2 linked regions of the Danio rerio genome follow. The protein of the gene in region 2 binds, or shares a complex with, the protein of the main gene of each other region. Links are inferred from orthologs where the notes say so. Each region holds a gene or a part of one and is shown on either strand. Other genes may lie near its edges.

Region 1 (6,809 bases), on a different chromosome or scaffold from region 2:
GATGAGCAAATTGTATGAATAAGATGGTACAAATTCATACGAATTGGCCACTAAATCAAAAAGTTACGAATTGCCGTGAGAACGTGTTGCATGTGAACGTATTCGCTGACCCTGAAGGTGATTCAAAATTTTCTGCGTTAAGCCATTGTTAACTAAGAATAACATACTGAATATTGTCACTGGCCAATCAGAATTGAGTATTCAAGACAGCTGTGTAATGAGTAAGGGATAAAGTACATCCAAGCGCAAAATGAAGGCCCGACAGGCTAATCAGCTGCCTGACGTTAAACGGAGCACTGTTGTATAAGACTGAAGGGCTTTAATCTGCGAAAATCATGCAACAGGATATAGTTTATCCCATTTATTTCATGGCGACATTTCACAATATGTACAAATTGGACAGAACTGTTTTGAAACATGAGTTGAATAATTCTTTAAATAAAAGCAAAGCTGACAGAAACGAAAACGGCTGAATGGAGCATACACTAACCTACGTATTATCTTGTCGCAAAATGGCGCCAGAGACAGACAAGCATATAAATATGGAGGTAAACGCATTCACTGACAGTCAAGATGATTTGAAGTACCTAGATGAGCCTGTGTTATTAGTTTAAGTGGTTGTTATCTGGGAATAGCATGCCTTGGGATGCAGCGACTGACTAATCAGAATTGAGTATTCCAAACTGCCGTGTAATAATGATCTACTAACATGAACAGTTTATTACAGTGGTAATTAATCTTTGTATTTTAAATTTTGGGTTTTAATAATGCATCAGTGAATGTTGAACTGTGATTAATAAATGCCATGCAAGTATTCTGCGTTCATGTTCGTAAATACGTTTAACGTTAACAAATAGAACCTTACTATGAAGTGTGATATTTTTTGTGTATGCTTTTTGAGTGTTTTAATCCGTTTTATACACTTGTGTTTCTGACTTAAACGGAATATTGAGTAGGGTGCGGGGCTTTCTTTTTGCGCATCATTCCCTCATAGAAAACTAATGGTGAGAGGGGCGTGGTTAAGAATACTGTGGCCGAACCATCAAACTGACATCATCAAACACAGTTCAAACACAAGCAAGTGCTCAGATGATTACCAATAAACTTTTTTCAATGGATTACCTTGCGTACGTTAATTGTTTATTTAAAAATAAAAATGTGCGTTAGCAAATTGTTTACATTTTGATTTACCTTTTGATTTCGAATATGTTTTAGATTTTTGAATACATTTTGATTTTACACGCATTTTAATATATACAGCACTCTGTTTTTAAAGCCTTTTCATCATCCTGTTGATAAAAAAAAAAAGTTCTCGTGTATCATTTCTTAAGTTTCTGCTTGCTGGAAAAGATACGTTTTTGTGTGAATGGCTAATGATGATGATGATGATGATGATGATGGTGATGGTGATGGTGATGGTGATGGTTATGATGGCCTTGTTTGTGCTCAGGTCACCCGTCCTGCTTGGACATGAGTGTGGATCTGGTGGCCAAGATCAAGATGTACCCGTGGCAGTGTATGGAGTGTAAGACGTGCACCGTGTGTCAGCAGCCCCATCATGAGGAGGAGATGATGTTCTGTGATAAGTGTGATCGAGGCTTTCACACTTTCTGTGTGGGCATGGACTCCATTCCTATGGGTGAGTCTCTACTTAAGATCTTCCTCTCAGATTTAGGAACACATAAATAAAAATACATTAAAGCTAGAATAAAAGCAGTTATTATTTTTTTTAAAAACCATTCGAAAAACCTAGAGTTGTCTAGAACAAACCATCATTATACAATTATTTGCCTAGTTAACCTAGTTATGTCACTAGTTACCTTTAAGGGCTCTATTTTGACGGTTCATGCGCAGAGCGCAAAACGCAGGGCGCAAACGCTTTCAGGGCGTGTCAGAATGCATTTTTGCTAATTTAAGGACGGGAAAATCCACTTTGCGCCATGGTGCATGGTCTAAAAGGGTTGAGCTTATTTTCTTAATGAGTTATAGGTGTGTTTTGAGAATAAACCAATTAGAGCCTCATCTCACATTACCTTAAAGAGCCAGCTGCGTCGCGCCATAAGCGCATTTTGACGTAAAGTAAGTTCACTTTCTCTTTTGCTCTCGTGGATAGGGAAACCTTTACGCACAGACATTAATTAGCCTATAAATTATTAATTTCGTTTGTTAAGCGCAAAGATTTGTTTCAAAACTATTTCTAAATTCAGTTTTAATTTCCAGCAAACGAATAAATGAACAACAATAACAAAGTGTGCTCAAAAACCTGAGTTATTTCCAAATACACCTGCTGTGCCCCATATGGTCTAAAATTTGACAGGTGGACAAATCTAAGCTTGTTTTTAATAAAACAAATATAAATATGGATATAATAAATAATACTGCTAATAATAATAACATTATACAAAAGAAAATTGAATGAACTGAAAAAGCCTCCCGAGATGAAGAAAGTATGAAGGCAGTGGTTTTTAAATTCATGTAGGCTAGAAATTAATATGTTTTGTAATATTTTAATCATTGATATTTATATCCTGTATATATCCTTAAGATATTATATATTTTTCATATGTAAAGATATTTGCGTATTGCTCTGCATCTTGTGTGTAGTGTGTAAGCCAGGCGCACTTTGCGCCAGACAATAGACCGACTTTGTTCTGGTCTTAAGATCAGACTATTTACAGTTTCTCAAAATAGCAACGCGCCAAAACACGCCTGCTTTTTTAGACCAGAATGCCTATGGGTGCACATTTGAGCGCAAATGCATTTGCTATTTAAACGGTGTGGCGCAACACCTCAAAATGACCCTTGCGCTGAGCTAAAAGTAGCAAAAGAGTATTGCGCCGCACCTTGCGCCACATTGCGCCGCGTGTATGATAGGGCCCTACATGTCACTTTAAGCTGAAAACTAGTATCTTGAAAAAATCTAGTAAAATAATGTGCTGTCCGTTAGAAATGTGTTGGAAAAAAATCTTCTTACTGTTAAACAGAAATTGGGAAAAATATTCAGGAGGACTAATGATTCTGACGTCAACTGTGTGTATAGTGTTTACATTTTTACACAAATTGACATTATTAAAACTTAATTAAAATGTTAAAATAGGATTTTTGTCTGCGTTTAGGATTTATAATTCTTTAAATATGAAATCACTTGTATAAATGATGATGCAGATGTTAAGGTTAGTAACATATAATAATAATTATAATAATAATAATTATTATGGGGGGGGAGGGGTCTCTCCTTACCACCACCAGTGTGCAGCATCCGCTTTAGTGGTTTAACGTCTCATCCGAAAGACATCGCTCAGTGACAGTATTCACCTTATTCTTCGCCAACAAGCGGGCGCAGCCATTTGAATCTTTTTGGCTCGAGACTTCCGGTCTCATTCACTTCCATTCATTTTTAGACATTAAAAACTGCTCGTTTTGATGTTTGATGTTGCAAACTGATATTTTCTTATTATATTATTCTACTTGGTCTGTATAGTCATGCAAACATTTGTTTTTAGAGCAAGTAGTTTGACCGTTTTCTGACGTTTATTATTCCTAAACGTCATTTCTCCCATAGGCGACTGAATCGGAAGTTCTAAAACAATCCTGAAAACAGGCGCACTTCCGCATTTTAGAATAAGGTCAATAGAGTTTTTCTTTCACTATACTGAGGCATTAAAAGTCACACAGACCGCAGGTTGAGCGCGCCCTGTTGTCATCACAAACATCACTTCTAACAGCAACCTAGTATTTCTTATGTGGTCTCCCATTCAGGTACTGACCAGGCTCAGCCCTGCTTAGCTTCAGTAAGAACCGGTCTTGCGCTCATATGGCTGTGTACTGAGATTGTAGCTTTATGAGACCAAAAACATAATATAATATAATATTTTTTTATTTTTAATCAGCTTAAACTTGTGGAGAACTTTTAACAAAAGAAACATCCTCATGCTTTCCTACGAAATCTTTTGTTGAACATAGAAGTGTGATGGAACTATTATTGTTTTATTTCATATAATATATTTCTGTTTGCATTTTTATTTTGTACAGGTTGCTGGGTCTGCGATTTATGCAGCAAAGACATTTCAACACCTCAGAAGAAAGGACAAACAAAAACACCAAAAAAGGCCAAATAACTTGCAAAAAATGGACCCAATTTTAGACCATGCTTTTGATTTATTCATATTTTTCTATTATTTGAATAAGTCTGTATGTGTTTTGTATGTCGCATTAATCTGTTATTTTGTAGCTGATTTTTTACACGCCTGTTTCTCTGTTGATTATGCTTTTTTATTGATTTGTTAAATAAATTTGAAACCTTTTTTTGTCAAGCATTGCTTACTTCCGTCTTTACTAGTTCTCTTGACGTTGTGATAGTGATATTTATCAACATTTCAAAAGAAAAGCTTTTTTTTATTAGCTTTTTTTGTACTAATTTATTTATGTAATGATCATACTTCAGTAAACGGGTAGTAATGGATATTTTTCTGATCTAAAAATTTTTTTATGATCTAAAAACTGTTGGGATACGAACATTTAGATGCTATGAAGGAATGAATGAATGAATACCCGGGCAGATATTCTTGACTCTTACTGGCTGTAGGCATCTTCCTCGAGTCCCATTATTAGTGTTTATTTTTAGCTTTAAGTTCAGCTTCTAGACTAAAGCAGAACAGCACCTTGTAAATTATTTTATTTATTTATTTACTTTCTATAATTATTTTTAGAGGTTTTTCACCTTTAATTAGAAAGGACCGTGGAGGTTACAGACAGGAAAGTATTGGGAGCAGAGAAAAGGGAAGGGTCGGCAAAGGACCTCGAGCCGGATATCGAACTCGGGTCGCTGTGAGCACCACGGTGCTATACAGTGCTCAGCATTTTTAAGTACATCCCTCACAAATCTCTCTTTTATATTCATATTTTTAATAGGAAGCTATACAATTTTATATTTGTGCATATACATTAGATTAGTCAGTACTGAAGCTAAATCTGGAGCTAATCTAACAAAATAACTTACGATAACGGTCCAAAAACTAGTACACACAAATTTATGTAATAGAAAAATATTGAATACAAATTTTAAAAAGAGGAAAAATCAAGAGAAGCGATAAAATTAAAAAAAATGGTTGAAATTTTGTAGATTGTAATTTTTTTACTTGAATTTAATTGTTATCTTTCAATTTCTAAATATGTTTGGTGACTAAAATATTATTTTAATAAATATATCTGTTTAATAAATCTGTTTTGTTTAAATGCACTAAAATACATTGCCAACATTCACTGAGAAATTAATAAAAATGTTTGTTTTCAAAACTGTTCTGAGCACTGTATGTCAGCGCACCTAACCACTAGGCCAGGGGTGGCCAACCCTGTTCCTGGAGAGCCACCTTCCTACAGATTTCAGATGCGACCCATATCAAACACACCTGAACCAATTAATTAGGATCTGAACACCACGTAATAATTATAGGCAGGTGTGTTTGATATGGGTAGCAACTGAAATCTGCAGGAAGGTGGCTCTCCAGGAACATGGTTGGCCACCCCTACAGTAGGCTATTGGCGCCAACAGATTACTTTAATAGTTTATTGCATATAAGTGGTTCAAAACCACTGTTTATAAGTTTGGCACTTGAGCAAACATGCCAAAAACGACAAGGTTCAGTTCTTTTCAAGTCTAACTCCATAATTTAAAACAGAAGAACGAAACTCAAGTATCAAAATGATGACAGGATTGTCAGTCTTGTGTGAACTATCCCTTTAAGGGCTGCAGTATAAGGTATGATTTAGGGTTATTTAAATATTAAATAATTATTACAAAGTGTTTTCAGTCTCGGTTTTCTTACCAAGTGCATCCGGAGATTTCGTCTCAGTCCAGAACTTTCATTTAAGTGCATCCCTAAGATAGAAAAAACCATATAAACAGTAATAAGAATATTGCATAGACACTCACATGCACTCAAAAAAATTACGTTTGCTGTTTGTACAAACTACTTATTTAAAATGAGCTGATACAACACAATAGGGTATATGCAAAAGCATGCAGAAGGACTTTTAATTTGTCAGTAACCCGAGTCAAACACATCCGGGGAACTGTATGCACTTACAAAATCGGCCCTTGTAATGTCTGTTTTTAAAAATCAATAAACTTCACTGCCTAAATGATTTATGATATAAAGTGGGTTTCAGATTGTACAAGAATCAATGCATTAAATTACATTTTCCTGTACCATGTTTTTAAAATATTTACATTTATTTTACTTCAGTATTTACAATGGCGTTTCTGCCCTAGCCTGCTGATCCTGACGGCCCAAAGCGATCTCACGGCAATTCGTAACTTTTCGCTTAAGTGGCTAATTCATATGAATTTGTGCGATCCGATTCCTACAATTTAGTACGATTCGCTTAACACCCAATGACGTTTGGGGTTAGGGGTGGGGTTACTTGCAACGCCTCCTTTTTAAAATCGTACATTTTCATACAACTGAACTACGTTTGAATTTGTACGAATTAGCCACTAAAATGACAAAACGTAAAATGCTTACATTTCCTCGTGAGATCAGGCTGGACGGCCGAGTGAGTAAACGGCTTTTCATCTCATTTTACACTTCAGCAACTTATTGAACGATGAAGTCTATTTAACGGATTATATTTGAATAACAATACAACATCAATGCTGTAAAAGGAACCGTATAAAATTGAAAGTCACATTAACCGTTCACCGGAAGTTTATCAGTATTGGAAGAAACACTAGCTCTGCATTTACCCAATTCTCAACTTTTTTTAAGGCACAACTTAATTGTTTTATGTTCTACCCCCTTAAATTTGTA
Region 2 (7,071 bases):
TAAACGTTGTGTTGTTCTGGTTCCCCTCTAATTGCAAAAATCAAGATCTGAATGTTCAAATCTAGTCATGTTGTAAAATGGCATTTAAAAAGAGCACAAGCAATCCATTTTAAGACAATAATCGAAATCAATTATAAAGAAAGATGCTTATATCATTCCTCAACTCTATTACTTTAAATGAACCAGCAAATACCCTTGAATCTCAGTCCAAACAACAGGAGAATGCAAAACAAATATCTTGTGGACGAACATGAAATACCAATGTTTTCCTGCTAAATGGAAGAGTAATGAAATCAAGGCTTCACTGAAGGATGTACACAAGCACAAACTGCGACCTAATTCATCCTTGAAGGCAAGATGAGGCCACAGATTCTCCACATATTTTGTGCAATGTGGAGTTTGACATTTGAGCAATTCTATACAAACGTCAACCTTGCCATTGAAAAAATAAGTTTTCACCAATACAGGAAAACCACTTTTTATGTTTTTTTTTTGTGTAAGGAAGTATTTTAAAGTCATTTAAAAATGCTCAAAAATGTCTTGTGTTTTCAAGAGTCAATGTTTTCCAACTATTACATTTAAATTACCAAAGTCATACAAGTGGCAATTTCATATTTGTCACATCCATAACCAAGCTCTTCCCTCATAAATGCAAAAATGTCAAATTAAATAAACTCAATCATTTTTGTTCTATAGTGAGCAACTCATCCATTTGATGAGCATTATTTATTTTGGGTATTGCAGTTTAATTCACAGAATTTCTAAAAAGCATGTTGTATACTGTAAACTCGCAGACTTTTTTGGTCACATCCATAATGCATGTTTATTTTCCTTATTTAAAGTACAAAACATGTTTACAGAATAATATTTTTCTGATCTCTTAACTCTGTGGTTAGTTGTTTTGGAAAATATAAACAGACATTTCAATATAACGTTAACGTATAATTTCTCTGTGAATTTATGTTTTTAGTTTTTACAGCAAATGTCACATCCATAATGCTGGGATTGCTCATTCATTTTTAAATCCTGGAACAACTCAGATATTTAGTCACAAATCAGCACACAAACAGTTGTGTTCATCACTAAGAAAACAAGTGCTGCTGATCATCTGAATGTTGGTGCAGACGGTCACTGAAACTTAGAAACATCTCATGTCAAGCAACAGTATAGGCATGGGCTGGTATAAGATTCTGACAGTATGATAACCTTGGATAAAAATATCACTGTATCACGGTATTGTGATTACTGCTCTAAAATATGTTCTTCTTAAATGCCTGGGTTAAAAAAAACAAAAAAAAAGTCCCCATTTGAAAACATTATATTTTATTTTTTGAAAGATTTATAATATTTTGAGCATAAACATGTCAGGCTGAATGAATAATCCAAATGAATAATTGACTTCTGCTGTCTTTATTAGTTTCAAAAACACAGATTTCTTTACAATTTAAAAATTCTATGGATTTTTTTTCTGCTGGAGATACTGTCGTCATAAAAAACAAAATACATTTTTTTACAAATACTTTAGGAATGGTGTTAAAAAAACATTTTAGCGGTTTTAAAACCTTGACTTTTCCAAACCGCAGTAAACCTTGAAAACGGTTATCCCATGCCTACAGAATATGATTATTTTCCCAATCTTATTTATTAGCTAATAAAACAATTGAGGTAAAGTTAGTTTTATATTCATATTCTGACTTTCTCAATAATTTCAGAAAAGTATTCTTTGCAAATACTGAATAGTGAAATCCTATTAGCAGCCCATCTCTTTTAAAGTACAAATGTTCAGTTGATTAAGAAGTGCTAATGTTGTTTTGTAGTCATACTTGTATGCAATTTCAGACAGAATATGCATAGCGTGGTAAACAATATGAGGACTGTTAAAATGAACGAATGTGGAAGTATAAAACCAACTCGGGGTTCATTCACAATTTTACGACTAAAATTTCATGACTTTTTCAAAACTAAGGTAAATATTCATGATGTTGTTTCGTGTTTAATGCAATGTCTATATCAGGTGTCAGGAACCTTTTTTCAGCAAAGAGCGATTTCAGATTTTTTTTTAATCAAATGCATTTTTTAAAAAGCCATATGGGTTGTGTGTATGACAAAACCTTTATATATTTATACACAAAACCTTTATTTATGTCCATGCATAACTCAAAAATAAAAACAAATATGGCAAATCACAATATACGAAGAAAGGCCAATGTAAATTTTTCTTTTTTTTGCCATCGCCACCCGAATGTTTGAATTTACGTGCATGAGGTTACCAATGAAATGTAAGTTACCATAGAAATGTAACAAATATAACTTGCCTTTTATTGTTGTCGCGATTCAAGTAAAACCACAGCACCACGTATGCTATGCACATTGGTTGAAACGTCCTTTTATTGCTAACAGTTCTTATTCATTTTGATGTAGAAAATACAATATAAGGAAAATTGTAATTGTATTTTCAATAGAAAACTGATTTCTAGTAATTAAAATTTTTGAAATATTACTGAAAAGAGATAGCTGGATAGCCACATATTTTTGTTTACAGAGCCACATGTGGCTCCCGAGCTATAGATTCCCTACCCCTGGTCTATATACATGTGGTAAATAAGTAAAAAAAATGCACCTTCCAATTTGCAGCATATCAAAAAAATGTGACAATTCATGTAGTTTATATTCATATCTGTAAAATAGTTTTTAGAAATTATCTTACTGTCTGCATGAAAATTCAATAATGTTGGCATGTGTTTTCACAAGACTTTAAATTAGTACAAATTAGCCTTTAGCACCCACAATATTTTACCTTTGGAGTTAAATATTTCTTGACACGAAACTCAAAATGCATCTTGAATTACGGTAAAAGCGAGGTGAAGCTATAACTGCTTTTTGGGGTAAAGTTGGTTTTATATTCACACATTAATTCAGCAACAACTTGTGACATGCTCCCTATATTGGTTACCATAGCACTTTGAATATTAAGTCTGAAATGCCATATGTGTCTGCTTGAAAACAACATTAGCAATATTTATTTGAACGTGAACAATTTTGTACTTTGATAGTCTTTGGCTGCAAACATGATTTCACTATTTAGAATTTACAAAGAACATTTTTTGTAAAATAATATTATAGAGGACAAAGTCTAAAGGTTTAAACATAACCAACTTTACCCCAATAAACTGCTTTTGATTTTTGAAGTTATTTATTATAGTTTTTTTTTTTTTTACCCATTTCATTTTTTTTAAGTCTTCCCATGAAATATAGTGTCAAGTACCAGTCAAGTTAATCTCAAATATACTCAAGTACACGTAATTGTTGAGCAAATTTTCATGATTTTTCCAAAACATTCTGGGTTTATGTGTTTTTCCAAAACTTTTCCAGGCCCGGAGAAGGCCTTTTTGAAATTTCATGACTTTTCCAGGACTGTATGAACCCTGCTAACTATACCTCAATACGAAAACATACGTTTGTTAGTCTAACGTTAATAAACAGGACAGAGGTAAAGTTGGTTTTATTCGCACATTCAGACTTCCCCTTTAATAATATCATTTCATAAAAGTATTATTTGCAAATTCTAAATTGCAAAAACATATTAGCAGCCAATGACTATCAATCATTGTTCACAGTCAATTAAGTGTTAATGTTGTTTTCAAGTCACACATGTAACGTTATGCTAATTCCGATCGAATATTCAGAGTCACATGGTAAACAATACAGATACTTCTAAATGAACCACTGTGCGAATATAAAACCAACTTTACCTCTATGTAAACTAGGGAAATTAAATGTTTATACTTTTTACATTTAAACCATATTCTTAAATCATTAAGTAGCAAACTATATGCAAAGCAGATGTAATTTAGGCAAAGACTTGCTCTCATGTAATGCACAGAATACATCAAATTAGCATATAAACACTGGTCATCAAAGCAACCAAAGCCATCATCATGATGCTCCTGTAGGCCGCGCGGTTACACACAGAGCTTCCGCAGAAACTCTGTTTACACCATCAAAACCAACTGCAGGTTAATATTCCTCAAGTCATTCTCAAGTGAAACACAAACAAATAATCTAATTTCTGGTTTACTGAAATAAAGTTTGACGCTTAGCATTGAACCAAACGGTAAGCAACGCAACCACAGTCGAGCATAATAATAGAGTATATTCTCAATTTAACACTATAGAAACCATTTTAAACGGATTCAATGTTGACGCTTTAAATAAACGAGCAAATTCTGCGTTCAGACTTTAAAACTAAAGCCCTCGGTTTATGCGCGGCTGCTTCTTTGTTCTCCTCGCGCCTTACCGGGTAACCGGGCATCGGTGATCGGTACATGTGGTTCTGCGGGCCGCCTGGTCCCATCCTTCCTGAGGGTGTACCGGGACCCATACCGGGTCCTGCTCCGGCTACCGGCGGCCCGGGTCCCATCGGGGCTCCGCCGCCACCGGGTGTCGAAGGCTGAAAACCACTCCGCGCCGCCATCTTCTTCTCCGCGAGCCGCAAACAGACAGAGAACCACCGGTGAGACTTGAAACTAGTATCGCGAGAATTGAAGAGCACAGGCGTTCAGAGCTGAGGTAGAGTCTCGCGAGGTGTGAAGAGACGTCGCGCTTGCGCTGACGATGAGAAGGGTAATCCTGCACAACTGGAGTGGCTGCACTCTCAGGACCGCATTTTTAGGACCGCATCTTTAGGACCCTAGTTTTTTGTGACAGCGTTACCTGTCGGATTGGATCATGGATGCGCTAATGGACGACACGGATGACAAGGAAAGTGTAAGTACCGATTTTTCTATTAAGTTTTATTTTAAACTGTTAAAGTATGTGTTTATTTTGTAATGCTGCTGTTTTATACTGTGAGTTTATGCAGAAATGCCAGATTAGCCTGCATGATTTACCCCACTTTTAAGGGTCTGGGACAAAAATGTTACGTGACGATTTTTTTTCCAGAAGAAGAATAAAATATTATAATAATAAATATGGATAATTTTACACAGCCAGAGTGAGAGCTGCTATAACTGTTAATAATTTTCTAGAGTTCGTTTTCTAGTTTGATTATACGTCGTTCGTAACTCGTGACCATGGTTTAATGAAACATTGTTGATTTAATGGCTTGTTGACTTAACGGCTAATGTGCTTAGTGACATGCATTAAACTAAGATGGTAAAAGCACGTTTGATGTAAGAGTTTTAGATTTATCTATATTTTACTGAATTCGTGTTATTCGTTGTATTACATTAGCACATTAAAAATTGTGCTGACTGCCTGTTTGCCCCACAATACTGTATGTGTTATTAGCCTGATGTTTTGTCATCGTTTTACAGTGATGAATGAGATTCTGAAAGTTAGGCTTATTCTGCAGGTCTTAACCATATAGAGTCTCATATCTTTAATTTATATCAGGTATGTTTTACCTGGCGAAAAAGAAGTGATGGCCAATATGATTGGATTGCTTAGGCTCATTGTAGGAGGAAAAGAAAACAAACTACAGGAATATTTTCATTGAGGTTATCTCAAACTGTTGAGTAACACTTTATAACATCTGCATACTATAAATAAATAATTATTAAGCATTTAATAACTAGTTAATTTATTAATATTTTATTTGTTTAGCATTAACTCTACATTTAATAGACATTGATAAGCAGTTTATAAATACAGTTACAAATGCTAGCTGTGTTCTTGAGTTTATAGCATATCTATGATGAAGTGCAGATTATCTGTGGTGTTCATTTTCCAGAGGAATGTCTGGCCAAATAAGTATATAAACTGCATGCTGGGTGCTACTCATTTATGAATCCATGTAAAATGATTTGCTGTTCTGTGGTGGTATTTTAGTTCATATTTAATGATTTTTTTTTCAAAGGCCATCGTACATCCTCTGGGTGTCTTGAGGAGCTGGTCTTTGGATGATGCTGAGCAGGTCTTTCTTTCTGGTAAAGATTATCATTACAGGTCAGAATATGGTTAATTTTGCACAATGCTCAAAGAGCCTTTTTGTTACTGGTATATATGTTAACTCAACAGTGGATTTGCTTTTTTTAGTGTTTGGACTTTCAGCAGTGAATACTAAACCACACTGAACTGAACTGAATTTAATAAATGTTAAGCTGCTTTGACACAATCTACATTGTAAAAGTGCTTTAGAAATAAAGATAAAATTAATTGAAATTGAATTGAATATTCAACACATTTCCATTTTTCTCAGAAAACATATTTATAAAGGTGCTGTTGACTTGAAATTTTCACCAGATGTTGATAACAATTTGTAAAGTAATTAGATTTGTTTTCTATTCATATATATTTTTTCTTTGGTTTTCAGGTCAATAGCACCTTTAGAAATATGTTTTCTGAGAAAAATGGGAACTTGTTGAATACTTATTTACCCCAGTGTGTATGTATATATATATGTATGTATGTGTGTGTGTGTGTGTGTGTGTGTGTGTGTGTGTGTGTGTATTTATATGTATGTATTTATGTATGTATATATGTATGTATATGTGTGTATATATATATATACTTGAACTTTCTTCTTCACTCTCATTCACAGGAGCTAAAGTCTACAGCCAGTCTGAATGCAGCAACTGAATAAACAGTGGAGTCATTTTTGTGGTTGAATTGCATTAATAAAAATAAAAGTGTGGATATTTATATAAATGTACATTCTTGAATCTTCCTTGCGTCTTGTCTCTCTAAAACCTTTACAACCTGGTTTTAAATTAGTAACTGCAAATGCTGATCCCATTTGATTTCAATTTATTTTCCTTAATACTGAGCTAATTAGTTCAATGTAATGGGGTTCATCAAAATACAGTATTTTTCAAGGAATTTAAGACTTTTAAGGCACTCAACTCTATTTATTAATTTATATTTTAGGTGTAAATTCATTTGTTTCATTTTAAAATTGTTACTTAAAGCAGGCGTTTTACACTTTAACCTCTGTAATAAAAGTGCCTGAAAGTTTCCGCTATATAATCCAATTCGGTAGGTGGCGCAGTTACAAAACGGGTCCTAGAAATGCAGTTTCACTATGTCATCCAATCCGGTAGGTGGCGCTTTCGCAAAAAACTAGGGTCCTAA

Evidence for each region. Proteins that work in one complex are often made in the same cells at the same time.
Region 1: smarcd1 (region 2) and phf10 share a complex: the UniProt entries of both Homo sapiens proteins name them as parts of the neural progenitors-specific chromatin remodeling complex. The link is inferred for Danio rerio from reciprocal best matches to the Homo sapiens genes SMARCD1 and PHF10.

The regions. Positions count from the first base shown.
Region 1 is NC_133188.1:6,028,597-6,035,405, forward strand, and holds the end of phf10 (PHD finger protein 10), read left to right. Parts: intron 1-1,450; coding exon 1,451-1,639; intron 1,640-4,032; coding exon 4,033-4,118; 3' UTR 4,119-4,309; downstream 4,310-6,809. UniProt on the Homo sapiens protein: Involved in transcription activity regulation by chromatin remodeling. Belongs to the neural progenitors-specific chromatin remodeling complex (npBAF complex) and is required for the proliferation of neural progenitors.
Region 2 is NC_133197.1:7,412,495-7,419,565, forward strand, and holds the start of smarcd1 (SWI/SNF-related matrix-associated actin-dependent regulator of chromatin subfamily D member 1), read right to left. Parts: upstream 4,502-7,071; 5' UTR 4,475-4,501; coding exon 4,298-4,474; intron 1-4,297. UniProt on the Homo sapiens protein: Involved in transcriptional activation and repression of select genes by chromatin remodeling (alteration of DNA-nucleosome topology).